3 linked regions of the Sus scrofa genome follow. The protein of the gene in region 1 purifies or fractionates together with the protein of each later gene. This does not show direct contact. Links are inferred from orthologs where the notes say so. Each region holds a gene or a part of one and is shown in the gene's direction. Other genes may lie near its edges.

The links. Proteins that work in one complex are often made in the same cells at the same time.
Region 2: the proteins of PIP4K2A (region 1) and AHCYL1 purify together in Homo sapiens (co-immunoprecipitation; 3 studies listed by BioGRID and IntAct, counting the BioPlex papers as one, with this or other methods). This does not show direct contact. The link is inferred for Sus scrofa from reciprocal best matches to the Homo sapiens genes PIP4K2A and AHCYL1.
Region 3: the proteins of PIP4K2A (region 1) and UBE2H purify together in Homo sapiens (affinity purification with mass spectrometry; 3 studies listed by BioGRID and IntAct, with this or other methods). This does not show direct contact. The link is inferred for Sus scrofa from reciprocal best matches to the Homo sapiens genes PIP4K2A and UBE2H.

What each region holds. Positions count from the first base shown.
Region 1 is NC_010452.4:52,219,089-52,229,442, forward strand, and holds the start of PIP4K2A (phosphatidylinositol 5-phosphate 4-kinase type-2 alpha), read left to right. Parts: upstream 1-5,444; 5' UTR 5,445-5,574; coding exon 5,575-5,718; intron 5,719-10,354. UniProt on the Homo sapiens protein: Catalyzes the phosphorylation of phosphatidylinositol 5-phosphate (PtdIns5P) on the fourth hydroxyl of the myo-inositol ring, to form phosphatidylinositol 4,5-bisphosphate (PtdIns(4,5)P2). Has both ATP- and GTP-dependent kinase activities.
Region 2 is NC_010446.5:110,091,460-110,101,221, reverse strand, and holds the end of AHCYL1 (adenosylhomocysteinase 2), read left to right. Parts: intron 1-93; coding exon 94-200; intron 201-1,038; coding exon 1,039-1,155; intron 1,156-1,409; coding exon 1,410-1,473; intron 1,474-2,257; coding exon 2,258-2,346; intron 2,347-2,715; coding exon 2,716-2,786; intron 2,787-3,150; coding exon 3,151-3,245; intron 3,246-3,334; coding exon 3,335-3,433; intron 3,434-3,835; coding exon 3,836-3,904; intron 3,905-4,343; coding exon 4,344-4,422; intron 4,423-5,535; coding exon 5,536-5,656; coding exon of another isoform or gene 5,657-5,660; intron 5,661-6,162; coding exon 6,163-6,169; 3' UTR 6,170-8,239; downstream 8,240-9,762. UniProt on the Homo sapiens protein: Multifaceted cellular regulator which coordinates several essential cellular functions including regulation of epithelial HCO3(-) and fluid secretion, mRNA processing and DNA replication.
Region 3 is NC_010460.4:18,883,575-18,893,336, forward strand, and holds part of UBE2H (ubiquitin-conjugating enzyme E2 H), read left to right. Parts: intron 1-4,659; coding exon 4,660-4,736; intron 4,737-5,280; coding exon 5,281-5,355; intron 5,356-9,762. UniProt on the Homo sapiens protein: Accepts ubiquitin from the E1 complex and catalyzes its covalent attachment to other proteins. E2 ubiquitin conjugating enzyme that transfers ubiquitin to MAEA, a core component of the CTLH E3 ubiquitin-protein ligase complex.

The sequences.
Region 1 (10,354 bases):
GTTAACCACTGCGCCACGACGGGAACTCCTATACATATATATGTTAACAATGATGTTGTATTTTCTTTTAGTGTTTTACACATATACATATACATTTTATAGTCTTAATAACATACCTGCAATTTTGTATCCTATTTTTCACTTACATTAATATCATGATTACTTAGTCATTACATTGCCATTTTTATTTGTTGTATTATATGCTGCCAGATGGATCTTTTGTAATTCATTCCGTTGCTCTCCCAGTGTTGGGAATTTCTATTTCTGCTCTAGGGCTATACATAATAAAGACATGATGTCTTTAGAGATCGACTCCTGTCCTCCACACAGCTTCCTGTTTTCCAAGGGAGCAACTGAAGTTCCCATCCCCTGCTTGGGGTGTGTCGGGGAAGGCGAGGCAGGCTGGGAAGTGGTCACCCTACACGTTGGTTTCTTTATATCCTGTCTTCCAGTCCAGTCTCCCAAGTCAGGCCAACAAAATAGTTGCCAACCAAGGGGAAGATTCCTGGAATTGCTGCCACTGTCCTGGAAGTCCCAGCCAGGTATAGAAGCCAGAAAAATCACCATTAATATTTCAGTTGGGTGGACAACCCCTGCTAGCTGGTGGCACACCACAGCCAGCCCAGAGTTAGGGTGGGCAGCAGACCGAGACCCTCTACTCCCAGATGGCAAGCTGTGCTGCATCATGTCAACACCTTCCCCCTGAAAAGCGACTCACATGTCACAATTGAATTCTTGGATGCCTTTTATTGCATCTTGGCTGGGTTTGACTGTGTATGTACTTTAATAACAGCCCTCTGAATTAAGTCCATCTTGAATGGCAAGACACTACAGAAGATGGAATGCCGTTGTCCCACATATCGCTCTGATCTCTTCAGAAAGCAATGGAAAGCATAAAAGCTTCCAAACAGCGCGAAGGAAGTTACGGAATTCCTCTTCTCAAGGAAGAATTCTAATTGGAATTATTCAAATGAAAAAGTATTCTTTGGTGAAAAGGGTATAATAAAATATCGGAGGAGTTCCCATCATGGTGCAACGGAAACGAATCCAACTAGGAACCATGAGGTTTCGGTTCGATCCCTGGCTTCGATCAGTGGGTTAAGGATCTGGCATTGCCGTGAGCGGTGGTGTAGGTCACAGACGTGGCTCGGATCTGGCATTGCTGTGGCTCTGGCGAAGGTCAGCAGCTGTAACTCCAATTCGACCCCTAGCCTGGGAACCTCCATATGCCGCTGGTGCGGCCCTAGAAAAGACAAAAAAAAAAAAAGAACAAAATCAGAGCATCCACACTATTTTAACCTCCATTTCTGATATCGCATACCTTAGTGAACACGGCACTTTCACCATACTCTTCTGGAATAGTAAATAAATTTGCTTATAGTAAAAGTTTTAAAAGAAAGTATAAACAAGCAGAAACATCAGTATCAGGAGCCTTTTAGTCTTCTCAACATTTCCTTCCTTCTTCTTGGTGAACTTGGAGACTGGAGCATTTCTGGCAGCTGGGATGGCCTTGGCACCTGGTTGAAAAGCCCAGCAGGCCAAATGCAAGGAGGCGGGAACAGTTCTCCTTGGTTGACTTGATCACATGCCCATCCAGACCTGGAACTTCCTTCCTCTTCTTTCTGGAGCCATGCCCACCAAGATTGAACGTTGATGGTTGGGGTGCTTCCACCCTTGACTACCTCAGCAGCCCGAATTAGGTGCTGAACCAGAGACCTGTGTACTGTTTCATGATCACACAAGCTCCAAAGGAAAACAGTGCTCAAATCACTGGGTTGTTAAGTCCACATAGTATGTAACCCTCACTTTTAAATATTAGGTCTAATTTGACCTACTGTCTCAGTAAAGTATTTCTAAATGGAAGTTTCCACACACATTTCCTGGGTGTGGAATCTTTACTTGTAACTTTGATGGGAGAGATGAACATTTCATTTATTCACCAAAATTTTGCCACAGGTGCTATGCCTAAGGGAGTAGGTTAGGTGCCTTGGGAAGATAGAGAGTGAAGACTACAGGGACTCTGCCTTCAAGGAATTTGTCTCCCAACAACTCAGGAAATCCTTTCAGCTTCTCTAGATCTCCATTGTCTAATGTAGATAATTTGGGAACTGGGTTAGGTACTTTCTGAGTTCATTTCTGTGACTCTAGAACTCTGACGACCACACACATCCTTGCAGAAGACACAGGAAGTGTGAAAGGTCATTGGCAAAGATCACTTAATGACCTGTTCATGAACGGCATTATATTAAATGCCATTCAAAGCAAGCCGAGCCATCAAAAATTTTGTCCCTTAACATTACTGTATCACAAACTTGACAGTTGCTAAGAGAGCACATCTTAAATACTCTCATCACACGCGCGCACACACACACACACACACACACACACACACACACACACACACACAAATGGTAATTATGAGAGTTCCCGACATGGCCTAGTGGTAAACAAATCCAACTAGGAATCATGAGGTTTCGGGTTCGATTCCTGGCCTCGCTCAGTGGGTTAAGGATCCAGTGCTGCCGTGAGCTGCAGGGTAGGTCGCAGACGCGGCCTGGATCGGGCATTGCTGTGGCTCTGGGGTAGGCCAGCGGCTTCAGCTCTGATTCAACCCCTAGACTGGGAACCTCCATGTGCCGTGGATGTGGCCCTAGAAAAAGAGAAAAAAACAAAAAACAAAACAAACAACCAAATGGTAATTATGCGTGATGTAGGTTTAACTAAACTTAGGGTGGGAATCATTTCACTGTACATTTGTGTATCAAATCATCAAGTTGTTTACCTTAAACTTACCCCATGTTATATGTCAACTCTATCATAATAAAATTGGGGAAAAAAATTTTGTCCTTTTAGAGCTACACGTTTCCTCATTATCTGAAAATACCACATGGATTTTCAGCTCCACACCCAGGCCTAGGTCTGCCCCAAACAGGAATGACACCTGTGCACTCATTGATGCCTGGTCACCCTCCTATGTGAAACCTGACAGAGCCCACAGGTATCCATTTCTCCTTCCTGTAGGTTCGTTCAACATTTTGTCATCACTACATTCAGCTTTTAAGCATTCACAGCAAGCCCATTGCTGTGCATTATTAACATATAGTTAAGTCTAATAGAGCTGTCATAGAACAAATAAAGCACTATGATAGCACTGAGGTGAATGGATTAATTTCAACTAGGAGGACCATGAGAGCATCAGGAAAGAGAGAATACTGGAGCACAATTATTTTCAAGGACAGGACCTGGGAAAGTGTTTTAGGTGGAGTGGTGACGAGAGGCAATAATCAATGATAATTCTAAGCTTTCAAGTCTGGGTCAATGAAAATTTGTTAAACAAATGAACTTCTGGCTGGAGTAACTGAGTGATATGAATGCCATTTCCAATATAATCGAAAAATGAACCGATGTATGAGATGAAGATGTTGATCTTGGCTTTAGACAATTTTTTGAGGTGCCTGTGGGCAATTGATGTAGAGATGCTCAACCAGGCACTTCTCTAAGATCAGGATAGAGGTTGTGGGTTATACACAAGAACTCTGCATCTTACCTTGTATGTGTACAATGCCATGTGATTTACGGAGTGCTTTTCAGAGCCCCTTGTCAACTGTGGATTTTGATTCTAACAAATATCGTATAAAGTAGGTAGGGCAGGATTATGATCACCAGGCCCAGAGTAGTCCCTAAAGTGACATCTGTGTCTGATTTTAGTAACATGACAAACCTGAGACTCAGAGAGTTTCACTGGTTTGCTCATTGGGAGCACTGGGCAACCCTGTCTCTTCTCACTACAAATTTAGGTTCTTTTAAAAAAATTATTAATATTATTATTGTCTTTTAGGGCCTAAACCCACAGCTAGGGGTCGAATTGGAACTGTAGCTGCCGGGCTTACCCCACAGCCACAGCAACATGGGATCCAAGCTGCATCTTTGACCTACACCACAGCTCCCTGCAACGCTGGATCCTTATCCCACTGAGTGAGGCCCCGGGGTCGAACCTGCATCTTCTTGGATACTAATCAGATTGGTTTCTGCTGAGCCACCGAGCCACCATGGAAACTCCAGGTTCTTTTTTTTAAAACAGTAAGTGTGGTTCTGGTTGAGGCCGGGGGAACAGATAACATTTTGGACAACAGTATGAAGCAAGAGAGTAAGAGGACTTTGGGGCAACCCTTATGTTTAAGAACAAAGGAGCAAAGGAAGGTGACCCCGAGATCTGTCACTTCCTACCCCTTGAGACTCAAGCTCCGCTCCGTAAGGCATAAGGGTCTGTCATCCTGTCTTTCCCTGACAGAAGCAAGCAGATTGCTAGGCACACAGCAGGAAACCACTGCATTTGGGGGAGTAACAATGACAGTAGACATATAATCTTGCCGGGTAGCCTGAATAGGGTAAGTGCCTAGACCAGGATGCTGGTTACTGGAGAAGATACAGGGACAGCAGATTTTTAGACATGCTTGGAAAGGCAGCTTCCTGAGGTGAGTCAGGTGTTCCTAGCATTCAGAAGGGCTAAATTTAGGTGTACGTGGATGAAGACAATGGAAAGATTTCCGTGGAAGGTGAGTGGAACGGATAAAAAGAAGAGATGTAGGAAACCTCGGAGGATTTGACGTAGAAGGTGCAATTTGGGGCAGGATTCTCTGGGCCAAACCAAAGGCTCTGGATGAGGCATGCAGGGTCCTGTCCCTGGCGACCGTGAGTTGTGGTGGGAAAGACAGTCCCGGGGGTTGGGTGAGCGTCTCCCTTCTGCATGCGCGTGGGAAGGCCCAAGTTCAGGGTTCAAAAGGCTCGATGGTTAAAAGCACAAAGGGATTAATAAATTCATTGCAGGGCTCCTTTGGGAGGAGGCCAACAATGTGTCCAGGTCCGTTTCCCCGGTGCTAGGGAAGCTCTGGTCTCCACCAGGGTTTCAGATCTCTCTAGGTCTCCCGATTCTTGGCACCGGAGAGCGGCGGTGCCCCGAGCCTCCTTCCTTAGCCTCACCACCGCCTCTGGGGTCTCCTCTCCTCCGACCTCCCCATTGCCTCCACCCCTTCCTCTTTTTCTCCCGGGCAGAAGGGGACGCCCTGCGGGAGTCCTCACGCTCCCTGCGCCGCATGCCCACCCCGCGGCCTCCTCAGCCGGCGGGGAGCGTCCGCCCCGAGCTCGCCGGCGTCCCCCGGGCCGCGGAGCCCGGGCAGGAGCTGGAGCGCGAGGGCGCAGCTTAACGGTCCCGCGGCCGCGCCCCGCGCCCCGCCCGGCGGCGCCGCAGCTGCTGCCCGCCCGCCCCCTGCGTCATGACGCCGGCGCCCAACGCGGAAGCCGCTCGCGGCGCGCCTGGTCCAGCCGCGGGCTGAGCGCGGAGCCGCGGCGGGCGCGGGATCCCGGCCGGGGCGCGAGCCGAGCACAGCCTCCCTCTCCAGCCGGGCCGAGCGGGCACTGCGGGCGGAGCGGGGCGAGCGCGCCAGTGGGCGCAGCGGACACAGAGCGCCGGGGCCGCCGCCGGGGGGGATGCGGCTGCCTCCCCGGGCCGGCGTGTAGAGAGGGCGGGTCCCCGGCCTCGGGAGCGCGGCGGTGGAGGGGACAGAGGCGGCGGCCATGGCGACCCCCGGCAACCTGGGGTCCTCCGTCCTGGCGAGCAAGACCAAGACGAAGAAGAAGCACTTCGTAGCGCAGAAAGTGAAGCTCTTTCGGGCCAGCGATCCGCTGCTCAGCGTCCTGATGTGGGGGGTAAACCACTCGGTAAGGACTCGGGCTGCGGCGCGCAGTCCCTTTCCTCCTCCTCCTCTTCCTCCCCTCTCCCCTCCTCCTCCCGCTGCAGCTGCTGCGGGGCTGGGAGCCCGAGCGGGGCCCCAGCCTTCGGGCTGCTAGCCTTCTGGGGCTGCCCGCTAGCCGAAGCGCCTCGGTGGCCGCAGCCCCGCGCAGCGCGCCAGCCCCTCGGGGGCCGCCCGGGCGCCACTTGGATCCCCTTTGGACCTAGGGCTGGATGTAGGACAAGGGTCCCATCTGCATTTTGAGCTCTGCGGCCGGTACCATTGTCGCCCCCAGTCCGTCCGTCCGCTCGCTGGCGGATCTGTCCCCGGAGCCCAGGAACTGGGAAGTTTGTGCGGGGCACGACTCCGCCTGGGCTATCACCCCAGCGGGGGCTGCTGGGGTCGGAGTCCTGGCGATCGCTTCCTCTGCGGGGGCGGCCCGATCCTCCGTGATTCTGCAGGTGTACCTGTCCGAGGCTAGGGAGCGCCTGGCGGCAACCCCGCACGGGGGACAGGGGTGAGAATACTGGAGATCGGGGAGCTTGGGCAGCGGCTTGGTGCTTAGGTCCTTTTTTTTTTTTTTTTTTTTTTACCTTTAAAGGCGATATTCTTGGACACAAGAAATCTTTTTGGCAAAGAAAAAGCCAGTGTAAATATGGCACTGGGGTTTAGCATCTTCCTCTGCTCCTCTCCCGCATCGCACTGCCGCTCTGCCTGCTGAAGAGCTGCTTGGCGGGGAGTCTTGCTCCCCACACCTCCTCCCCCACCTTGGGGAGCCAGGCCGAAGTCCCCGACTGCGGAAGGCGGCCTGGGGATGACTTCGGGAGCGGGGGTTGGGGGTAGGTCTCGCCGGGAGCGATGGAAGGCGGTCTTGAGTTGATTGCATCCGTTTGGGGGGTTTGTTTCAAAGGTTGGAGAGGACGCTTGGAAAGGTTAGCCTAACACACACAGCCAGAGGTGCTGAAGATGCGCGGCTGCGGGCTCTGCGGACTGCGGTTTGAGGGTCCGAAATAGCCTCCTGCCGACCTTACCGGGAGAAACTCTTGCAGTTTTAATCTCCTTAGGATCAGGAAACCTGATAGGAGCTGTTGGCTGAGCCATGAAAGTTTAAATGAGCCTGTGCATTTTGACCATGACCTTACTCACTGCAGTCAGCGTCTGAGGAAAAGTATAAGCTTGCCTGCCTTACTTTTGATTTGCATGGGTGTCTGTGGGCCCTTTTCAGCATAATAGAAATGACAGAAAACCATGTTTTTTGTTTTTTAAAAGAACATTCTCAGTTTAAGGAAGTTAGTTTAAATGATTCAAAAGCATTGTATGTATTTTTTTTTTCTTCTTTCCCAAGCTGAGTGGGGGGGGGGGAAGGTGAAACTGTAGCAGGATTGATTGTATTTGCAAGGAATGACTGTAGAAAGTCGAAGAATGATTATTTCTTTCAGCCTAATGCCTGATCCATTGAAGTTCATGTTAACTTGCTAATAACTTCTTTAGCAATTAGGAATGTAAGCTTTTGCAACAGAAAATGTTACTGCACCAAAACTCCCCTAAGTTTTATTACAGTAAATAAAATGTTATTTTTCCTATGTAATAAGTGTACAGTTCAGAGTTTTGTTTCTGAATCTGTTCAGCTTTTTTGTTATTACGTTATTTACTTTTTGAAAAATTAATGTTGTTAGTTCTGCATATATGGGTGCTTTTATCTCCTTTGAAGTTCTGGTCAGGGGAGTGTTTGTGTCTGAGGGTTTAATCTAGTAAAGCAGTGGTGATAATATTGCCAACGAGAGAGTGTGCTCTCTGGGAATTAGTTGGAACTCCAGTTTACTTTAGAAAGCCTTGTAATTGCGTGTGTTTTACTGTACCCACTTCTGTTGCTGCTTTCTACTTTTGAATTGCTACATTTGTTTTAGAGTTCCTTGCTAATTGGAAATGCTTTTGAAAGTACTTAAAACTTATAAAAATAATGTGATTTGTAGGTACTGCGTTTTCTTTTGCTTTCAAAAAAGGTAGCAATTCTTAGTTATTCAGAGGACTCATGCTTCCATACTTGCAATATAACCACGTTACTCATTCAACAAATACATATCAGACACATAGTGCCAGCCTCTGTACGCCCCTCATATTTTTGTCGGAATCTCTTTGAGAGCTCTGAGTTGACCTAAGAAAGGTCTGTTTCAGCATCCTTCTTTTTAAAAATGTCTATTTTCTTTATTATTTTTGAGAAAAAAAGGAAGTGTATGTAAAGATGAAATCTAAGCACTTAGATGCCATGCATTTCTGGTTGGTTTCATTTTAGTGACAAAGTCTTAGATGTTTTCATATGACCTTGTGTGCACCAAAGTCTATAGTATGATATGAGAATAAATTTGTCAGCATTATTAAGGAGGAAGCATCGTATTGTGTATGAATGGAGATGGTTGAGAAAGCCTAGCAGAAAAGGAAGAGCTCTTTTTAGCCCGTCTTTCCATGTATTTCTGATGTGTTCAGGACTGATGGGAAAAGATTTGTCGTGAACATAGCCATTTCTTGCTTTTAAAGTTCTTTTCGGTTTGTCTTAGGACATTTAGAAGCAACCGTTTATTTGAAGCACTAAAGGAGATCTGTAGTAGTCATTTGCTACATAGAGTATCATATAGGCTTCTTCTAAGATTGGGAATCTTCTACACACTGCAGTAAAACCCTCGTTGGATCTGGGTTCTAATTCTTTCTCTAATTTTGTTGGCTTTGGGGCCCATTAACTATTTTTGCATCGATATTTGCATCTGTGAAGTAATCGGACTGAAAAATTTCTAATTTTTTTCCTAACTTCCAGATTCATTACTTTTACAGTTGACTAAGTTTCTAGCATTAAGTTAGGCTCCCCAGACTAGGAATAGTGATAGAATATAACAAAAGTTGCATTACTGTTACAACCTTGCAAATGCAGCTGCCCTCAGGGAATTTGCAAGGCCGTGGCTAGTGGCAAGGAAATCTGTGGTAATCTCGGTGATCGCAGGACACGTGTGAACTCAGTTTGTTGGACAGATTGTAGTTGGGCTGCATTGTCGTCTGTTAAGTCCTAGTCTATTTGATTGAAATGTAAAAACTTGCAATTAAGGTGGAAAATTTCAAGTCCATTGTGGTGGTAATTCTCAATGACAAGAATAAGCTTGAGTTTGTGTGGTTAATTTGATATGTTACTGCTTTCTGACTTAAAATACCCATCCGTGAATGGATCACTGCCAATTTTTATTTTAAGTATTTTAAGCAAGGACTATAATTGAATACATAAAGGAAAAGATGACTTAAGAAGGCAGTTTTGTCTTGTTACATTTGGAATTAAACTAAAAATGATCCAGCAGTTAGCTTCTTAGAATTGTATTTTAATAGTGTGTGGAGCATGTAGAATGATAGGAGTCAAGGCTTGTTTTAAATAGATGTTCAAGAAGAGTTTTATGCAGACTGAACCGGGAGCCTTTTAGTAATGTGTATTTAAAAGCCTACTTAAATATCTAAAGGAAGACCTTTGTATAGGAAAAATTTAAAGGACATATAGTTGGTTTAAAACAAATGTAGTATTTATAAGTAACCAATATTAATGTCAGTCTTTTGGTTGGGAGCGGTGGAAACGTGGATGAGCACAGGCCAATTTGTAAATATTAGGAGGCTTTTGGAGGTCAGTGTGGAGGGAAGGTAAGCAACCCGGGGGAGCAGCAGTGCGCTGGGCTTCGGGGATAATTGGAACCAGGTGCTTGGGTGCAGTTGGGCCTCTTCTATTGCTTGCTTGTAACTGTCTGCTCCCCCACCCACCCCACCCCCTGCCCCAGGGCAGGGAGCTAGTGCTTCCTGAATTTCGCATTTTTCACATCCTTCCAAAGGGGCTTTCTGTCTCTGATTCAGTTGTAGAAATCCCATGGAGGGATTCTGACTGGTCCACCTTCCTCACTGGTCCTGGCATCTCCCTGGACCAAGCTGCTATGAAAAGGTGGCTGCTCTTGCCCACTGGGCCTGATGCCTGGGAGCAGAGGTGCCTGTCCTGGTATAAGAGCTGGCTGATTGTCTTGGTGCCCATGTGCCCTGTTTTGTGTGTTTGGCAAATACATGGTTTTCTGACTTGAGCATTCGTAGCTTTTATTATCTTCTCAACAAGGTCTGGGACTTGAAATAATGTTGGAGAAATAGATGATAGGTTTATGTATGGGCACTGGAAAAGATTAAAGAAGGAAACTAGGGTGTAAAAATGCAATGAAGGACTATGAAATATTGACTGAATGGAATATAATGAGGCAATTAAATTAAAATAATAATGAGCTAGATTTTAGATGAAACTCAGTGAATTCAACCCAAGATAACCACTCATTTAAGAACTAGTCTTGGAGTTCCCGTCGTGGTGCAGTGGTTAACGAATCTGACTAGGAACCATGAGGTTGTGGGTTTGATCCCTGGCCTTGCTCAGTGGGTTAAGGATCCAGCATTGCTGTGGCTCTGGCATAGACCAGCGGCTACAGCTCTGATTAGACCCCTAGCCTGGGAACCTCCATATGCCATGGAAGCAGCCCTAGAAAAGGCAAAAAAAGACCAAAAAAAAAAAAAAAAAGAACTAGTCTTACACAACTTTTTTTCTTTACTTTGAAGAATGCCAAGCACAT
Region 2 (9,762 bases), on another chromosome or scaffold:
CAGGGCTCTCTTACTAGTGCAGAAAGTGGGTTCAAAGTTCCCCCCAGCTCTAGCAGCCTGAATGCCCATAGAAGTCTTCTGGCTGTTCTGTAGATCCTGGATGATGGGGGAGACTTAACCCACTGGGTTTATAAGAAGTATCCAAACGTGTTTAAGAAGATCCGAGGCATTGTGGAAGAGAGCGTGACTGGTGTTCACAGGTAACAGATTCTGGAGTAGCTGCCCCTCGTGTCCTTGCCGCAGCAGATTCCTCTGGTCTCTCCTAGGCTGTAGGGCTGTGTTTCAGATTTGTAACTAAATGGGAGTGTTGTCATTAGATAAAACTTCTGAGTTATTACCTTTGCAAAAATCAAGGAAACCCTAAAGGGAAATTATTTCAAATTCTCGTTCACCCATTTTTCTCTCCCATTTATTCCACTGTGAGTCTCAATCAGTGTTGGGAGGTAGGGAGTGAGTATATCTTGAAAAACTGTATTCAATTATGTATTTTAATTTTATATTTGAATATGAAAAAAATCTATTGTAAAACCATATGTTATATACACATTATAGAACTGGGTAAAGTATTGTTGGAATACCTAAAAGATAGCTGAGAGAGTGTTTCTCGTTTGGGGCACCTTGCACACGCTTAAGCAAACAAAAACACATACACCCCGGCACATGCCACATGAAACCATATCAGAAACATTGATAATATTCGTTTATCAGAAATAGACATGAGTATTTTTTAACAATTGAGAAAATGCTGGTCTAATCAACTGTATCCCCCTTTATGGAAGAGAAGTAAATTTCTTCAGTTGAAAGGGTTGTTTGTTTTTTTTTTTTTCCCTTCCATAAAAAGGGGGGTGGGGAGGAGAAAATGAAAGGAAGTGAGGAGGGATAACGCAGAAGCATCTTATTTACTAATACTCATGGACTATAAGTAAGACTGGGGAGGGCAACATGGAGCTTGAAGAGAATTAGGCAGCCTTTGCCAGCTCCTTTGTCTTACCAGCTAATTTGGTTTTTGTTTGTTTTTTTGGCTTCTTCTCCTTTTAGGCTGTATCAGCTCTCCAAAGCTGGGAAGCTCTGTGTTCCAGCCATGAACGTCAACGATTCTGTTACCAAACAGAAGTTTGATAACTTGTACTGCTGCCGAGAATCCATTTTGGATGGGTAGGTTGCAACATATAGTTATTCAAATTTGTAGGGAGTAAATTAGGTTTGGGTCGTAATGTTGGTCTGATCTCAGTCCAGTTTTGTCCCCTGGTCTTCCTTTGGCTTTAGAAGTTTGAGGGGTTCCGTCTCATACTGAGCCCAGCCAACTTCCAGCTGGAGTTCTTCTGGAGCCTTGTCCCACGCTCTTACTTTTCAGAGGGACTGTGTTTGAGCCCGTGGTGTTTGAGTTGAGCTCTTGTCTGTTTCCGCAGCCTGAAGAGGACCACAGATGTGATGTTTGGTGGGAAACAAGTGGTGGTGTGTGGCTACGGCGAGGTAAGTAGCTGGGCCTGGGTGTCTGCCTCTCCCCAGACTTGGTGCAAATGTCGAGTGAAGGAGACTCGTGCTGTCAGTGTAGAGTCCCTGCTGCAGAGTTTAAAAACGCTCATAGATAAAGTATCTCAAAATAATAGCAAAAGTCCTTTCTTCAGATTTCTGAATAGAGACGTACAGAACGAATTGTCTTCAGATTTTACCACTTTGTCTTATGGAATGGAAAGTTGGCATAATTTCCCTCCAGTTACAATAGTAACCTTTTATGAGACTTAATTTAAGTGAATATGTAGCATTTTGGCCCCACAGATGACTTCAAGTAGAGTGAAGGGTAGCACCTGAAGTGATGGACAGTCAATTATCTTTAAAATAGGTGACAGGGATTTTATTTATTGTCATAAACAATGACCCACAGAAGTCCCTAAGCTGCTAGGCTGTCCTTGAGTTAGTTAGATGCTTCTCAAGTGACAGCAGGTTTTCCTCAAATGAGAAACTAGAGGTTCCAGTTGTTCTTCCTTGGTCTTGTTTCCCTAATGTGATACTTTTATTTCCTTTATCTCTTCTACTTTCCCAAACTCCAGCCCTTGCTACGAAATGTCTGCTAAATCACTTCTGACTAAGGATCACGACATAATTACGATCTGTTTCTCTTTTGCTTGGATTGGAGCATCCAGTCACTTGCTAGATGATGGGTGGTTTCAGGAAGGCTAATTCCTGTCTCCCAGAGAGCCTGCCTGCCCAAATACCCATGCCTTAACGGACCTGACTTCTTTCTTACTCCCTGCAGGTGGGAAAGGGCTGCTGTGCTGCTCTCAAGGCCCTTGGAGCAATTGTCTATATCACAGAAATTGACCCCATCTGTGCTCTGCAGGCCTGGTAAGAACAGAGCAGAAATACCATTAGATTCACTCCAGGTACTTTATGTTTCTGAGAGTTTGTGATTGATTGTATGAACTATTCCTTGCAGAAATCTCTCAGCGGAGAAGCCTAGGATTGCACTGTTCCTTCCACGTAATCGTAGGACAGGCACTCCTACAGCTTCTTGGTATTTTCTCTTCCTGGATAGAATCTTGGGGAGCCTGAAGAGGCCAGTGTGTAGAGTTTAGCCCAGCTTGTCACTTATTATTCCAGTGAGATAGCCCTGGATCTAACTTTACAAAGGACTTTGCCTGCCTCGTTTTGTGACCAGCTTCTGTCCCACTGCCTTCTTGCCTTTGCTTATAGCGTTCCTTCCTTCTCTTCCAGCATGGATGGTTTCAGAGTGGTAAAGCTAAATGAAGTTATCCGGCAAGTTGATGTCGTAATAACTTGCACGGGTAAGTAGTACTTTGGTGTACATGGAGGAGTGTTAATTCTGGGGTTAAATCTTGAAAGTGGTCTAATCGACTGTCCTACAAAGTAGGTAAGACCTGTGTTCTGGGTCCCAGGCTGAGAACTACACTAAGCTATCAGAAGTTGAACATATTTGCCAGAACAAAGTGCCTTTTGCCTCCTTGACTTTTTATCGTGCTTGATCTTAAAACCAAATGCCTGAACCTAAGAGCTCACACGTCTTCCCTCACAGTGTGTACGTGCTCTTTTGTGCCAGCAGACCACCTCTCTCCCCTGTTCTAACTAAGAGCCAGTCAGTGCCTTTGACCCCTGGGATCTCTTTCCTCAGTCGCTCTCTTTGACTTTCAGGAAATAAGAATGTGGTGACACGGGAGCATTTGGATCGCATGAAAAACAGTTGTATCGTGTGCAATATGGGCCACTCAAACACGGAAATTGATGTGGTGAGCCTTCTCTCATTGCTTTGTTGCTGGGCCTTTTTTTCTCTTCCTTCTATCATAGCCTCTTCCTTTCTGTGCGATCTTCCTTTCAGACCAGCCTTCGAACTCCGGAGCTGACGTGGGAGCGAGTTCGTTCTCAGGTGGATCATGTCATCTGGCCAGACGGCAAGCGCGTCGTCCTTCTGGCAGAGGTGCACACGCAGAAGGGTTCGGGCAGTGCAGCCAAACAGTGTGGTTAGCACTGTCGGGAGAGGGGCGGCGGGGAAGAATACTCCACCTGTGCGTCCCTGAATTTTGTCTGTGGACAGAGGAATGTTTCTCACATAGTCTGGTTCCCAAAGTAGAATCCCTCAGAAAATCTCTTTGCTATGTAACGTACTACTTCCTGACCACAAGTGATTCTTCAGCTTGTCGAGACTCAGGTGGACTTGTGGAAAGTACGATAAAACCTAGAGTCCTGGTTTGAAAGTCTTAATTCTTCTTCTGCCAACTTAGTCTAGAGGGGCATTAAGCCTTTCCTACATTTGCCTGATTCGCGTGATGTGACAGAGGGATCACATAGCTCATCCCTGGACTCTGTTTCTACTTCTCAGGGTCGTCTGCTCAATCTGAGCTGCTCCACAGTTCCCACCTTTGTTCTGTCCATCACAGCTACGACACAGGTATGTGACCAAATGCCGGCTCAGCCTGCCCTGAGGTGACTGGAGCTGGGCCTAGATTAGAGTTCCAGCGAGAGTGTGCCCTCCTCTGTTCTTAGCAGCCTGTTTTCTTCAGGTCACAGATTGTCAGGAGTTAATGCCTCCTCAAGGATAGAACAATCACCAGGTAGAGTCAGTGTTTGTGTCCCTTCGAGGTGGCTGTTTTAACTGAAAATGAGGTGTTCCAGCTTAGTTGTAGTTAGTCTATCCTTTCATTAGCAACCAATCAACAGCACCAACAAATCCTCTTAGGATGTGTGCTGGCATTTATTACAATCCACGTCCTGAGTGCTGTCGCTGTGGCAGATCACTGATTACCCCAAGACCCTGTTAAATCTAGTTTGATTTTTAAATGGCCCTGAAAAGTGTTTTTGTGGTTTCTGACCCTCTTTCCCCACCGTAGGCTTTGGCACTGATAGAGCTCTATAATGCGCCTGAGGGACGATACAAACAAGACGTGTACTTGCTTCCTAAGAAAATGGGTGAGTGGATACAGGAGAAACATGCATTAATCCTCAGACTGTTACATTGTTTGGTAAAATGAATATCATGAAAAGCAGTGAATTTAGAGTCGGAGTTCTAATCCCTGTTCTAGCACTTTCTGGACCTCAACACAAGTTCTAATCTCCATGAGCCTCAGTTCCTCTCTCAGTAAAGTGAGAACAATACTACGTACATTGCAGAATTATAGTAAGAAGTGCAGCTAATGAGTAAAGGTGGTTTAGCACAGTGGTTTAGGGTAGATGCTCTTTATCTGAGTAGCTTTATAAAGTTTAGTAAACCACTGATTACAGCCTGAGACCAAAATGAGAGAAACAGGAACAAATATAGGTTTTACTGCCCATCTTCTGTGAGATACACAGTCTCCTGTCATTTCCGGGGTCAGCTGTGTTGTGTTTATGTGACATAATGCATAATTTTTAGTTATTTGCCTTTCTGAGTAGTGCCAACCTCCTCAGCCCAAATCCCTGGCTCTTAAAGCTGAAAAACATCTTGCTCTTGTCCCCTCAAGCGGCTTACCTCAGATTGTTTTTTGGTTTGGGGGGAGGGGGGTGGCGGTTATTTGTTAATTTGTATCATAAGGATAAAAACCCAGAAAGCTTATCTACAGAAAAGTAATACAGTTGTGCCAGGTGTCTTAGAAATCCATGATGCTAAGATTTGAGGCCTTTACAGGTCTTAAGTAAATGTTGGTGACAGCTCTTCTGAGCTAACTGATGTCCACTTCGATCCATCATTTGACTCTGATCCAGCAAAGGAAGTTGCTGCAGGAAGGTGAGAAGTAGTACCTGGTATGTTGGCCATTGAGATGAACCCAGAAGCCTTGCCAGAGAAGAATGGGGAGGTATAAGTCACCCCATCTTGTTACCTCAGCAAATGGCTTTCTGAGTGCACTCTGGCTATACTGAGAGAAGTACGTCAAAGGCGGCTTTGAGGGTCTTTTAAATTACACTGTTGTTCTGAATTGTAGCTTCTTTAAAAGTTATCGCAGCCCTTGTCCTCTCTCTCAAAAAGCTTCCAGTGAAAACAGGGGCGGGTTATGCCCTGAGAGCCATATTTGAAATGGAGCCTGCTTCCCTGCTGCTTTGTTCTAGATGAGTACGTGGCCAGCTTGCACCTGCCATCATTTGATGCCCACCTGACCGAGCTGACAGATGACCAAGCAAAGTATCTGGGACTCAACAAAAATGGGCCATTCAAACCCAATTATTACAGGTAACATGGGGGAAAGCAAATGAAAACTCTTTTCTCCAGTGTTAAGCCAAGCAGACTAGCCAGCTTTCTTAAATAGGGTTGTAGCTGGTTTTGCAGAGAAGTCTGTCCCAAACTACGAGGTAGACAGAGAAGTTGTATATCTAGTAATAGACGTAAAGAGGTAAGCATTTTCTAAGATTTTGGAGCTTGAGCCTCACTCCTAGAGATCCTGATAGAGATAGTCTAGAACGGGGCCCAGGTCTATCTTGTAAAACTTCCCCAAATTATTCTGATGTGTTGTCAGGGTTGAAAACCATGACCTGATAACCTTATTTGGGAGCAGGAGATAAAACTAGAGATGCCATTGTTGGCAACTGTGGAAGCACAGGGAGGAGTATTCCCTGGGGAACGACTGCAGGAATCCCAGCCCAGGCAGGGAGGACCCTGGAGGGTGTTCTCTGCTTCTGAGTCTTCTCTTGGAATTCTCAGGTGGAAGCCACAAGCGCTAACCAATCTCTTCTTTACAGATACTAACGGACCAGATTACCAAGGACCAGTCCACCTGAACCACACGACTCTAAAAGAAATATTTTTAAGATAACTTTTATTTTCTCCTTAATCTTTTCCTCTTGATTTTTTTTTTTTCCTGTAATTTCTTTCTTGTTTTTTCATCTCATTGTCCAAGTTCTTGCAGACCACACAGGAACTTGCTTCATGACTCTTTAGATGAAACTGAGATTCAAGGTTTCTCACCCTAGTGACTAAAGAAAGATTTTACTCTCCCAGCCCAGAAAGGTGATTCTTTCTTTACCGTTTCTGGGGACTTTATAGTCTTAATTGGGTACCTTATTAACAGGAAATGCTAAGGTACCTTCTATGTGGAACAATCTGCAATGTCTAAATTGCCTTAAAAGAGCCCATTTCTTAGCTGCTGAAATCAGTGCTCTTTCACTTCTTCAGAGGAGCAGGGATGGTACCTACCAGGCAGGTAGGTGAGTTGTAGGTGGTGCATGTTAATTTCCCCTAGGTGTTCCAAGCCCTGTTTCCGATGGAAAGGTGGTATGTTTGGCTCAGAGATACGTACTAGTGAATGTTGCTTGTTAAGATCCACTAGGCCCACTTGGATTTAGTACAGCTCTTCCTCCACTCCCACCAGACCCTCTCATTTTTCAGGTTTTTAACCAGACTTTACTCTGTTTTGTCCCCTAGCATTTATTTCTTTTGTTTTGTTTTTTGTTTTGGGGTTTTTTTTATATATATATATATAAGTAAGAAAAATGTTTAGTCTTAATACAGAGGAGCTGCTTGAGTGGTTAGTTGTTATCAGTTTATCTTTTGAACCTTTGGAGCTAAAAGTGCAGAGTTGAATCTAGAGAAATGCTGATCTCAAACTCTGATAATCCCTCTGTTTTAGCCCATAGTTTATAGCATCAATGAACTGGGGCCGTAACAGCAAATTTTATCAGCTCTGCCCCATCAGCTTGTGCTGAAAGCAAATTTCTTGAGCCATTACTCAGTATAAGGCACTGAGCTCTCTCTTTAGGATTTATCCTTTAAGAGCAAATTTCTGGTTAGCTGTGCTTCTGCAATTTAAAATATTTAAAGGGAGGTAGATGTGGATGGAAGGAGGATGGGTAGTTGGGCCAGGGTGAGAGAAATTAATTCCGTGTAACTTGTCTGGGACTTCAGGCCCCATACAACATTAGTTTTACAGAAGCGGTACCACTTTTAATTGACAGACGTCACAGAGAGTTTATGAACTGAGTCTTAAGGGCAGTTTGTACATAGAGAAAGTAATCAGTGTCCTGGCTCATGCTCGGAAAGAATCTGCAGAGAGGTTCTCTCAGAGATCAGAAAGGTGTGTTCCCAAGCCATGCACCCTGCTCACCAGCATTTCTGCATGGTCAGACGAGCTTTATGCTCATGAGCTTTAACTGTATAATTACCCAGGATTGTAAACCCTCAACTTGTTCTAGCTTGTGATCCTTCAGAGTTGGATCAGGCGTTAGTTCTAGGTACTAGAAATGTTCATTTCCCTATCGCCATTGATCAGAGACAAATAATTAAAAACCAGAAATATGAAAAGGAAAGCTTTCACCCTGTGACTTCCTAACTGGGGACAGTGATCTTGCCAAAACTTTTTCCCCTTCCCTCTCCCATTTCTCTCCACCCAGCCCCTTCCCACTCCTTGCCAGTGTGACCATGCTTTTCTTCTCTGTAGATGCTAACGGTTCAAGCCCCCTTTCCCAGGGCATTTAACCAGCCAATCACAACAGCACATCCTTTAGGAGAGGTAACCTGGCTGAGAGTGGTATCCATCACGTCAGTTCTGCTGGAGGGAAGGGGCCCAGGTCCTGCTGCCCTTGGCCTGCTCCCTGCTCCCATATCTATTACTGTGTCCGTAGGAATACTAGGTAAGGGCTCCGTCTCTGTCAGCCATGTAATGAAGGACATTGTGGGAAAATGTCTGGCATCAGAGGGAGCGTGTGGAGAGCAACTTGGGAGGAACAAGTTTATTTTGTATTGAATGATTTTTAATGAATGCAATATTAATCCTTGCAGATGAGCAATAATCATTAAAGTCAATTAAAATGATAAGACCTTCCTGGAAGCCTGTGTCATTCTTGGTTGAACAGCAAAACTTTCATTAGAACCTGTTTTCTAAGACAGACAAGTCATGGGACATTCAGCAGTACATAGCAGAGATTTGCTCAGTACCTAGTATGGAGGGGAACAGGCTGGCTGCAGCGTTCTTCAGTATTATCTTAAATTTTGCAGGCCTGCTCTGTGCCGAGCATTGGGCCTCGGCAGTTTCACTCTAACTTCCTTCAAGTTGAAGAGCAAACTTGCTGCCTAAAATTCGGGGCTCCTCACTTACACAGGCCCCTTATAAGACCCTCTGCCTAATTTTTTTCCTTAAAAAAATGCCTCCAAAGTTATGTAAGCTTCAGCCCCTTCCCACACCTGTATCCATCTCTGAAGTTGTCTCCACATTTTCAGATTTTAAAATGTATCTGTTAATATTGTTCAAAAGTAAGACCTTTTCTCTTCTATTAAAATGGTCCAAAACAATGTTGATGTTTTCAGTGCAGACTGGTAAAATGAGTGTTTTGAATTCTGTGAGGTTTTATCCACTAAACTCGTCACTTAAAGGAGCCAGGACTCTTTGGAGAAATGGCTGATTCCATGACTCGGCAGGAAAAACACAAGGTGAGCAAGAAAACAAGGAAGTACTCAAAAAATGATTACGGTCCAAAGGACACAGAAGGTAAATTTAAGAGATTTACACTGGGCAAATCTGGAATAATCTGAGCATCAAAATAATGGCTTATAAATCATTGAATTAAATAGGAATCTCTTGAGTCTATACTGATAATGAATGATGAATGGTTTAATGAAGAATGGGCTATGTAAGTAATTTCAAAGTACCTCTCCATGAGGTTTTTCTTAAGTAATGGGAAAACAAGTCATTTTGAAGTGGAAAAGCCTGGCAGAGCTCACCTTAACCAGGTGATTTCAAAATAAACATCAGTAATGGGAGGGGGAGTTCCCATTGTGGCGCAGCAGACTTTGATCTGACTAGTGTCCATGAGGATGCGGGTTCGATCCCTGGGCTCCCTCAGTGGATCGGGATCTGGCGTCACCATGAGCTGTGTATTCGCAGACACGGCTTGGATCCCGCATTGCTATGGCTTGTGATGTAGCTCCTATTTGATCCCTAGCCTGGGAACTTAAATTTCCCTCAAGTGTGGCCCTAAAAAAAAATAAAAAATAAAATGGGAGAAATCTTACTCTCCCATTACTTGGTAGGCTGTATTGAGAAGAACAAAACATCCCTTCTGCAGTGTTTCTGCCAAAGATGCAAAACCTGAATGTGATTATAAGGCATAAGATAAATCCAAAGACATTTTACAAAATAACCAGCCTAGAGTCTTCAAAAGTACCAAGGTTGCCAGTGTCAAAGAATGGCCAAAGAACTGAAGAAACTAATACAGTAACTAAATGAACGGAACTGAATCATTTTGCTGTCAAGAACATAATTAGAACAGTTGGTGAAGTGGGTCTGAGGACTAGGTGGTGGTAACTTCAGTGTTAATTTTCTGATGTTAATGGCTAAACACAGTTAT
Region 3 (9,762 bases), on another chromosome or scaffold:
GAAAGTGAGAAGGTAACGAAGGAACCTTCTAGTGAGATCCTGCCAGTCTGCTAGTCTGACCAGCACATCTCAGAAATAGATCATTATTTTTGTCATTGTAACCTGGCATTCTCGTTTGCCTTCCTTGCCCTTGACTTTGCAGCAGAAATGAGAAAGAAACTTGTGGCCTCTACCATAAATACACATGATAACAGCAGTCAAGTAATTTTATATTTTTTTGTAGGCAAGTCATTCATTCAGGGTGATGGAATGGCTTATTTTTAATGCAGTGTTTTTCTTTCATCTAAACTTAAATTCTTTTTTTCCATCTGATTTAGCGTCTGTACCATTACAGAGCGGCATAAATTTAGCACAGCTTCTTCATTTTACCAACTTGGTAGAAGTTTTAAAGGTTTCATTCAGTTTACTTTTAGCTTTTCATATGAAATGGACTTTAAGAACTCTTTAATTTACAGTGTAATGTGTAATTAAAGACAGACCTAGTGTATCTGGAATGTGGGTTGTACCAGAGGTCATGGGAAAGAGAAGGTTTGGAGCATTAATTTCTAATCTCATTTTAACTTGACTGTTTCCAAAGGAGGATCTTCTTTGGAAAGTAGATAAAAGCATGGACTAAATGCCAGACAGATCACAAAATGGAAGAAAGCTAAATTTATTGCATCCACGTAAATGATAGAAAAGATGACCTTCAATTTTCTAAAAGAGATATTGTTGTAGATAACTTGTAATTCTGTAATTAAATTCATAGTTAATTGCTATGGATCACTGTCATTTATAGCAAAATAGGTCTGATAGGGAATGCTGCTTCTTTTTTTTTTTTTTTTTTTTTTTTGCTTTTTAGGGCCACACCCTCGGCATATGGAAGTTCCCAGGCTAGGGGTCCAATCGGAGCTATAGCTGCTGGCCTACATCACAGCCACAGCAATGCCAGATCCGAGTTGTGTCTGTGACCTACACCACAGCTCTGAGCAACACCGGATCGCTGACCCACTGAGTGAGGCCAGGGTTCAGACTTGTATCCTTGTGGAATACTAGTCAGATTCGTTTCCACTGTGCCATGTCGGGAACTCCCTCTAAGATTTTTATATTGTAAAATTAGTTTTATTTCTTTTGTTAAACTCATTTGATCCTCTACCTTACTCCATTGTTTTATTATCCTTGCAAATTTATTTTTGTTTGAGATATCTTTGTCTGTATTCCTACAGTGTATTCATTTGAGTATTAGTAACCCCAGGTTGAGCAAAAACACATCAGAGGAGCGCTCTGTGTGGGGATAGGACATTAATATACACTAATAGGTGCTAGTAGCAGCCTGATAGCTTATAATTCATTTAACAGGTATCCTATTGATAAATACTTGAATTATTTCCATTCTAAAATTTTAAATACAACAAACATTTATATGCATATCAGATAGTCTTATTTTGTTAGTTTTTTAAATTATTAAATCATAACATATATACAAAAAGTACACAGACCATTTTTGTAGCTCACTGATAAATGGAACAGTACATAAAGGTATGATCAGCATGCCAGAGGTCTCTTCAGTGATCACAGTCCCCACCCTGGGGTAACTGTTGTCCTAATTTCTGACACCTTGATGCATTTAGTCTGTTGGAAGTGTGTGTAATTGGAATCATATCCTTTGTGCTCTTTTTATCTGCTTTTTTCACCATAGTATCTGTGAGATTTCATCCATTTACATGTGGCGGTTTTATTTTTTTATTGCTGTGTAATTTTCTGTTGGGTGATTGTACCATAATTTATCCTTTTTATTGATGAACCTTTGGGTCGTAACCTAATTTTTGGATATTACAAATAGTGCTGTGAACATCCTTAAACGTGTGTGTTGGTGCACATCGCTGTCCATATCTACTAGAGGTAGTGCTGGTGGGTGTAGGGCCTGCATGTGTGCAGCTTTACCAAGCCAGCAGTTTTCCAGGGTGGTTGAAACCATATCACATTTCCATCAGCAGTGTCTGTTTTATTTTGTTTTAAGTAACGTCAAAAAAGTGAAGATGGAGTGAAAGAGTAAATTCATTTTAAGTTTTAGAATATAGTACTAAATTTGACCTGAGGAATACTAATTTATACTTCACGGGACACTTGGTTTTATCTAGCTCTTTCATCTTTATCAATTAATGTTGGAAATTACCTCATTTTTAAACTACTTTAGTGAGTTGGACTATTTATAGCTTAATTCCAGTTTTTTCTTTTTGTCTTTTTGCCATTTCTTGGGCCACTCCCTCGGCACATGGACTTTCCCAGGCTAGGGGTTGAATCGGAGCTGTAGCTGCTGGTCTACGCCAGAGCTGCAGCAACTCGGGATCCGAGCCATGTCTGCAACCTACACCACAGCTCACAGCAACGCCGGATCCTTAACCCACGGAGCAAGGCCAGGGACCAAACCCGAAACCTCATGGTTCCTAGTCGGATTTGTTAACCACTGTGCCACGATGGGAACTCCCCAGTTTTCTTAACTTGGATATTTTGGCCTTTTCTTCATAGTTTGTCCTAGCTATATTTTTTCTAATATATAAAATTTAAGTGTCTCTGTTTGCACGCACATGCACAATTGTACCTACTGATTTTTCCCTCTGTGGTTTCTGGCTTGGTGTCATTCTTAAGTCTTTTTATCCTCAAGATTTTTTGATTTGTTTGGTTTAAGAATTTAATTATTAGTATTTAATTTTGTTTATTATAGCTAGATTTGATTTCATTATCTTTCACTAATGGAAGGGAGCTGTTTTGGTTGTTTAAAACAATTTAAACATGTACTTTAATTAATTACATTAGCATTAGCTTTGGAATATTTTGTAGAAAGATGTCAGAGGGTGACTGGTCAGGAAGAATTTAGTACACGAAAAAACATGCATGCATGTGTCATTTGACCATGAGAAATTAAATCAATTTTCCAGTGTGGATACTCTTTGAATCCTTTCATTGTGCATATTATTGAAGTAGTTAGTTTTCATTTAGAAAAGAATGAGATCAAATAGACTAAATTATCTTATTTAATATCTTTAGTAGGTACTGTTCATTACTCTTGAGCAAGGACTTTGCCAAAAATACACCTGGCCTCTGTCTCTTGGCCTACAGGACAACAGAGGATTAGAGAGCCAAATACTTAATTTCAAGCCCTTAAAAATACAACTTTTCTCTAAGAGATCACTTAAAAATTTCTTTGAGTTCCCGTCGTGGCTCAGTGGTTAAGAAATCCGACCAGGAACCATGAAGTTGTGGGTTTGACCCCTGGCCTTGCTCAGTGGGTTAAGGATCCAGTGTTGCTGTGAGCTGTGGTGTAGGTCGCAGACGATGCTCAGATCCTGCGTTGCTGTGGCTGTGGTGTAGGCCGGCAGCTACAGCTTTGATTTAGACCCCTAGCCTGGGAACCTCCATATGCTGCAGGAGTGGCCTTAGAAAAGGCAAAAAGATGAAAAATAAATAATAAAAAATTCTTTGGCTTTTTTTTCTTTTGTATAATAGTATACATAGTTAAAATGTAGTTTGCACTGCTGACTGAGAAAGATGAGGCCAGCCTATTGTATCTGATTGTTGGGTTTTTTTAACCATTTCAGTGGGATTTGAGAGCTCCCCAAAAATCTTACCACCTAAAATTTTTATCGGTAGAGTCATTATTGGGTTAGAACACAAAGCAGAGACATGAAACAGGTATTATTAGACCAGTAGCCCTGTTTTCTGCTGATGTGGATTAGTTTGATTTCTGTAATTGGTCTTAGTACCTTAAAGAGGTGGGTCTCAAGACTTGTATAAGTTACTGAGAAGGAGAACACAGAAGGTTGTATCACTAGTTATTCTGATTATTCTTCAAGCCAGGGAGAAACTTATGTGGATTTGGTAAATCTGTAATTTTAGGAGTATGGCATTTCCAGTTTAGAGGCATGAGTGTTTTGCTGAGTGCTTGAATTTGACTAAAGGGAATACTGGTTTTTTTGTTAAAGGATCATTAGGGATAGGTTGGGGAGGATAGAGTACAGAGGGAAGAAAAACTAAAATTAAGTGCCTGCTTTTTGTTTATTTATATGTACAATGTGGTCTTAACACATTTTACATATTTAACTCATTTAATCTTCATAGCTGTAAAGTGGTGTTTTCCTCATTTGCAAAGGAGAACAAAGGCTCAGAGAGTGAGTGAGTTTATATTCTCTTGTCTAAGAGTTCCCTTTGTGACTCAGTGGTTAACGAACCTGACTAGGATCCATGAGGATGCGGGTTCGATCCCTCGCCTTGCTCTGTGTTGCTGTGAGCTGTGGTGTAGGCCAGCGGTGGCGGCTACAGCTCAAGTTGGACCCCTAGCCTGGTAACCTCTGTAAGCTGTGGGTGCGGCCCCAAAACAGCAAAAAACAAAACAAAACAAAATAAAAAAACAAAACCCAAAATTCTCTTGTCTAGGCTCAAATCCAGTAAATGGCAGTTCTGGGATTTGAACACCAGTCTTTGAATCTAAAGCTCATTCATATTCCTTTCACAGACGTCTATATTGCCTTTTAAATTACCAGAATTATTGTTCACATTTTATATTTTATTAGTTTCATATAAAATGTTGGTAACACTTTAAATGGCATATCTTGGGGTTGCCATCTTTAGTTCTTCCAGGTAGTGCAAAGCCTGTGTGATTTCCTTTACCTTCCACCTTAGCATTGAGAGTAAGCATGAGGTTACAATCCTGGGAGGACTCAATGAATTTGTAGTGAAGTTTTATGGACCACAGGGAAGTAAGTATATGCGTTGGTATGTGTTTTTCTATTACAGTCTTTTACTCCTTAGTGAAAATATCAAAGCAGATGGTAATGGTGATAGGTGTAGTTTTTGAAAAGTAAATTTAATTGAACTCTTGAACCTGCAAGGAAATCTTGCTCTTATTGTAATTACTTTATGTACTTTTATCTCTGGGTGACAGTATTAAACATGAATTGTGAATTTGGGGTTTTGAAAGTTATAGATGGTTTGGGGCAAAATTTTCTTTCTTTGGGGCATGGGAGTAGGGTAGATGGAAATATTAGGCTGTTACTTACCAGGTAATTGAATAGTGTTTTAATACTTTAAAGAATCAGGTAAATTTGGGAGAGAAAATGAACCTTTTTTAACTCTAGATTTTTAAAAGATAAATGTCATAATTGCACATAGAGTACTACTAGTTATGAGATCTCTGACTCTTGCAAGGTTCTTAAAAGAGATTAGGATTTAGTGTTTAACTTAGATTTATTTTCTAATTTGGTGACACAGTTCTAATGTTTAACGTTTTTACTTTCATTTCAGCACCGTATGAAGGTGGAGTTTGGAAAGTTAGAGTGGATCTTCCTGATAAATACCCTTTCAAATCTCCATCTATAGGTATGTAACTACTCAGTTTCTCTCATTTAGAGAGTTTTGAAATAGAAAAAAAAAAATTCTGCAATTTATGATAATTCCAGAAGTGTTTAGTTAGCCTAATTTTTTTCCTTTTTGGCTTTGGTTAATTAGTAACTTTTGGGGGGACTTACAAAGTGTGATAGTAGATGTTTAAATATATCCTTTGCGTGATTGTAATGACTATAACTAGATTTTTCTGTGTTTCAGGGCCAGATGAAACAAATAATTTTTAGACTCACTGTTCATTAGGCTATTAGCAGTAAAATAATAAACATCTTAAGTCTCACTTTAAATGCCAGGTTGTTGGAATTAATGTTATATGTGTCTATTCTAATTCTGCCATTTAAAAATCCTCTCTATATCCTACATTGCTTTTGTTCATTCCGACTCTGGGTAACCCTTTTCCATTCTCTCCACTGCTAATCTTTTTAACCCTCTAAACAGCTAAAGAAAGGAGAGTAGAAACTTCAGTGGAGTTGTATAAAGGGTGGTTTTTTCCCTTACCTTCATCTTCCTTCTGCCCTAATTGGTGATATTAACCTGCAACCCCTGTTAAGGCATTTAGTGACAGTTCTTTTTTTTTAATTTTAGGATCAGATGCTATAGATGTGTACTTGATTGAGGGTTGATACCTTTAACTTTTTTTTAAATTTTATTGGAATACAGTTGACTTACAATGTTGTGTTAGTTTCAGGTATACAACAAAGTGAATATATATCTCCATTCTTTTTTCCCATATAGATTATTGCAAAATATTGAGTAGATTTCCCTTTGCTACATAGCAGGTCCTTGCCAGTTACCTATTCTACACATAGTAGTGTGCCTTTAAATATTTTGAGATTGTGGAATGGTAGTAACTTAGCTAACTTAAGACAGCTTTTAAAAATTTCATTCTGGAGTTCTGGTTGTGGCGCAGCAGAAGGAATCTGACTAGGAACCATGAGGTTTTGGGTTTGATGCCTGGCCTTGCTCAGTGGGTTAAGGATCCGGCATTGCTGTGAGCTGTGGTGTAGGTTGCAGTCGAGGCTCGGATCTAGTGTGGCTGTGACGTAGGCCGGCGGCTACAGCTCCAATTAGACCCCTAGCCTGGGAACCTCCATATGGATGGGTGCAGCAGCCCTAAAAAAGCAAAATAAATAAATAAAATAAATGTTTCATTCTGTAGATGATTTAAAAATATTATGAAATATTGACCAATTTTAAGAAGAAAATGGAATATATTAGAATGTTTTCTGTCACACTGAACCTCATGTTCAGAATTGTCAGAGTTCAAGTATCGTGCGCCTACTGTAGCCTTGACATCAGAATTAATGCCAGACATCTTGGAATTAGACTTCCCCCTTCTTCCCCCAGAAAAGGGTTTTTAAAAAGAGGTAAACCAAACACATTCTGAGCTTTATGTTTTGTTTCTAGGCCCCCACATTTCTGTCTAGGATCAATAATGTGGAAGCATTAGAACAGTCACAGACTAATTTCCAATCAAATGCAGCAGCCTACCTCCTAACATTTAGCTACTTTATGTATTTTAGAGTTTTATACTATAAAAATACTACAGAGTATCTATAATTCCTTCTTAGGCTGGGAACTCGTAGTGCTCATTTTAAGAATAAACTGGTGTGGAGTTCCCGTCGTGGCTTAGTGGTTAACAAATCTGACTGGGAACCATAAGGTTGCGGGTTTGATCCCTGGCATTGCTCAGTGGGTTAAGGATCCGGCGTTGCCGTGAGCTGTGGTGTAGCTTGCAGACGTGGCTCAGATCCCGTGTTGCTGTGGCTCTGGCGTAGACCTGAGGCTACAGCTCCGATTAGACCCCTAGCCTGGGAACTTCCATATGCCTCAGGAGCGGCCCTAGAAAAGCCAAAAAAAAAAAAAAAAGAATAAACTGGTGATTTCCTCTTAAGGTCCCTGGTCCCTTAGATGAGTTTTCTAAACTCAGTAATTGAGAAGATGCTTTAATGGATAATTGAATTGGAAATATCCCCATTGCTACAAGGGCCTCCTGAGTTTTAGAGTTCTCAGATGGTGATAGAGAAAGGGTGCTGTGAGGTGCTGAGTCTTTGAGACAGTCCCCGAGTGTATCTGACATTCACCTTTGGTGTACAGGTGGGGCAGTCCATTCCATTGTGGTAGGTTTCACTTGGTTTGGGAGGGCTTTTGTGTCACATTTGGTTCCTTCTCCCCCATTTATCTTTTAAGATGTTTCTTCCTCTACAGGCATTTTCAACTTGATGTAGAGTGGTAAACCTTTACAAATAGAATGTCCAAACCATATAAATACCTTCAAATAATATCATAAATACCTGTTTACTTAAAGATTAAAAATTGGCTTGCTAAATCTAGTTTTGTTACCCTTGATTCCTAATCAGAAAGGAAACAATATAGCTTGTTGAAACTAACAGTAAACCGTAGAAATGCAATTACATATTCTTTAGAAATGTAGTTATTTCTCAAATCTTGTCTTAACATACATTTTCAGATAATTGTTTCATCATAACTTTCAAAGTAAAAATATCTAAACTTCAGGCACCGTTTTTAGTAACACTGACACTGCAGAAACCTATTTACTTTCTTAAATTAATGATGTAATGTGAAACTGGTTAGGGCAAATGACTAGGCTAATTTAACTTCTTCATAATTTTTCCTTTGCCTTTCTGTGAGCTTTTAGAACTTGGTAATACCTACAAATGTGTACTATCTTCTCTTAGGGAAGTAGATCTAGTTGAAATATTTGTACAGGCTGTCCTTGTTTCCTTCAAAGGAGATTGCATAAGAGAGTTTTAATCAGTTCTGTGGGGTGACCCATTTTCAGGTCGTCAACAATGTAATTACTGTTGGAATGTGCTTTAAACATTTTGAGAGAGGTAGTGGCTCACTTCGAATGGCAAGGATTCCTTTTTGAATTGTGTAGATAGTTGTAGAAGAATAAGAAGATAAACCCAATCTCTCTGTTCTTTGTAAACCCTGCCTCTGTAGAATCTAGGCAGGTGTACCCTTCTTCCTTGAGCCAGACTTTGCGCTCTTAAACACTAAGATGTGCAAATTTAGATTTAAACATCTTAATGTTTAGATCTTGGAGTTTTAAAATATGTATGTATATATACTTTTTTGTTTAATATTAATATTTATATATTTTAAAATTGTATAATGCCCCATATACATAATGGGAATGTAAAAAAGTCCAGGTGAGCAGAAGCAAAGTAAAATGAAAATGTCTTACACTTCTGTCCCTCAGTGGATATCATTATTTACCTAAAGTTCATAAAAATGTAAAACTTTTTTTCTGCATATTTGAGCATATATTCAATGTAATTTGACATGTTTAACTTTGGGATATGCCCCAAATATAGTTCTAGAGAGTTTTCAGTAGTACATGATTGCATAAGCTATAACTAAAAATGTTCTTCTAAAAACAATTTAACATCTTTAAGTTTTTTGGGGTCCCCCCCACAATGGTAAAACAGACTCCTGGGAAAGTTATGAGCTTCCTCTTACAATGCCATCATTATTCCAGACATCTTAAGTGCATCTTTTGGAATTTTACATGATTTGAATATTATGAGTGTTTGCAAATCTGGATGCTTTGAAGCTGAATATAAATTTTTGAGATGGCTAAAGGTCATTTAATTTCTAGAGAATAAGATGAGTTGAAAAACCAAGTAACATCAGAGTATAAAATGATACATGATTATGAACTTAAGTTTAAACATATGATTTTCTTTTAAACTGGCCCTATGGGCTCTTTCCAAGAAAAGTTATAAAACTCCTTTAATCACTTGTAATGTCATTGAAATATTATTTGTATTGTTTTCCAGAGAGGCTGCTTTGAAATAAATCGTATTTGAACATGTAGGGATTTTTTTGTTTGTTTTTTGTTTGTTTGTTTGTTTGCCTTTTTAGGGCTCCACCCATGGCAGTTCCCAGGCTAGGGGTCTCCTTGGAGCTATAGCTGCTGGCCTACACCACAGCCAAAGCAACACCAGATCCGAGCCGTGTCTGCGACCTACACTACAGCTCACGGTAATGCCAGATCCTTAACCTACTGAACAAGGCCAGGGATTGAACTTGTGTTCTCATAGATGCTAATCAAATTCATTTCTGCTGAACCACAACGGGAACGCCGAACCTCTAGGTTTTGATTTATTCCAAAGTTCCGACTTTTGCCTTTTTCATTCAGAAACATTTCTAGAATGCTAGCAGTGCTGCTAGGTGTGTCACCTATAGTAGTTAGGAGAGTGTGATCAGTAGACAGGTTATCAGAAAAGAGTGATTCTGGCCCTGGTTCTCCTTGACTATCTGAATGATACTTATCTGAAATGTTTCCTCATCTAAAAACTGAGATAATGAGATTAAATAGGACTCTACATATTTGATATTGACCAATGTATTAAA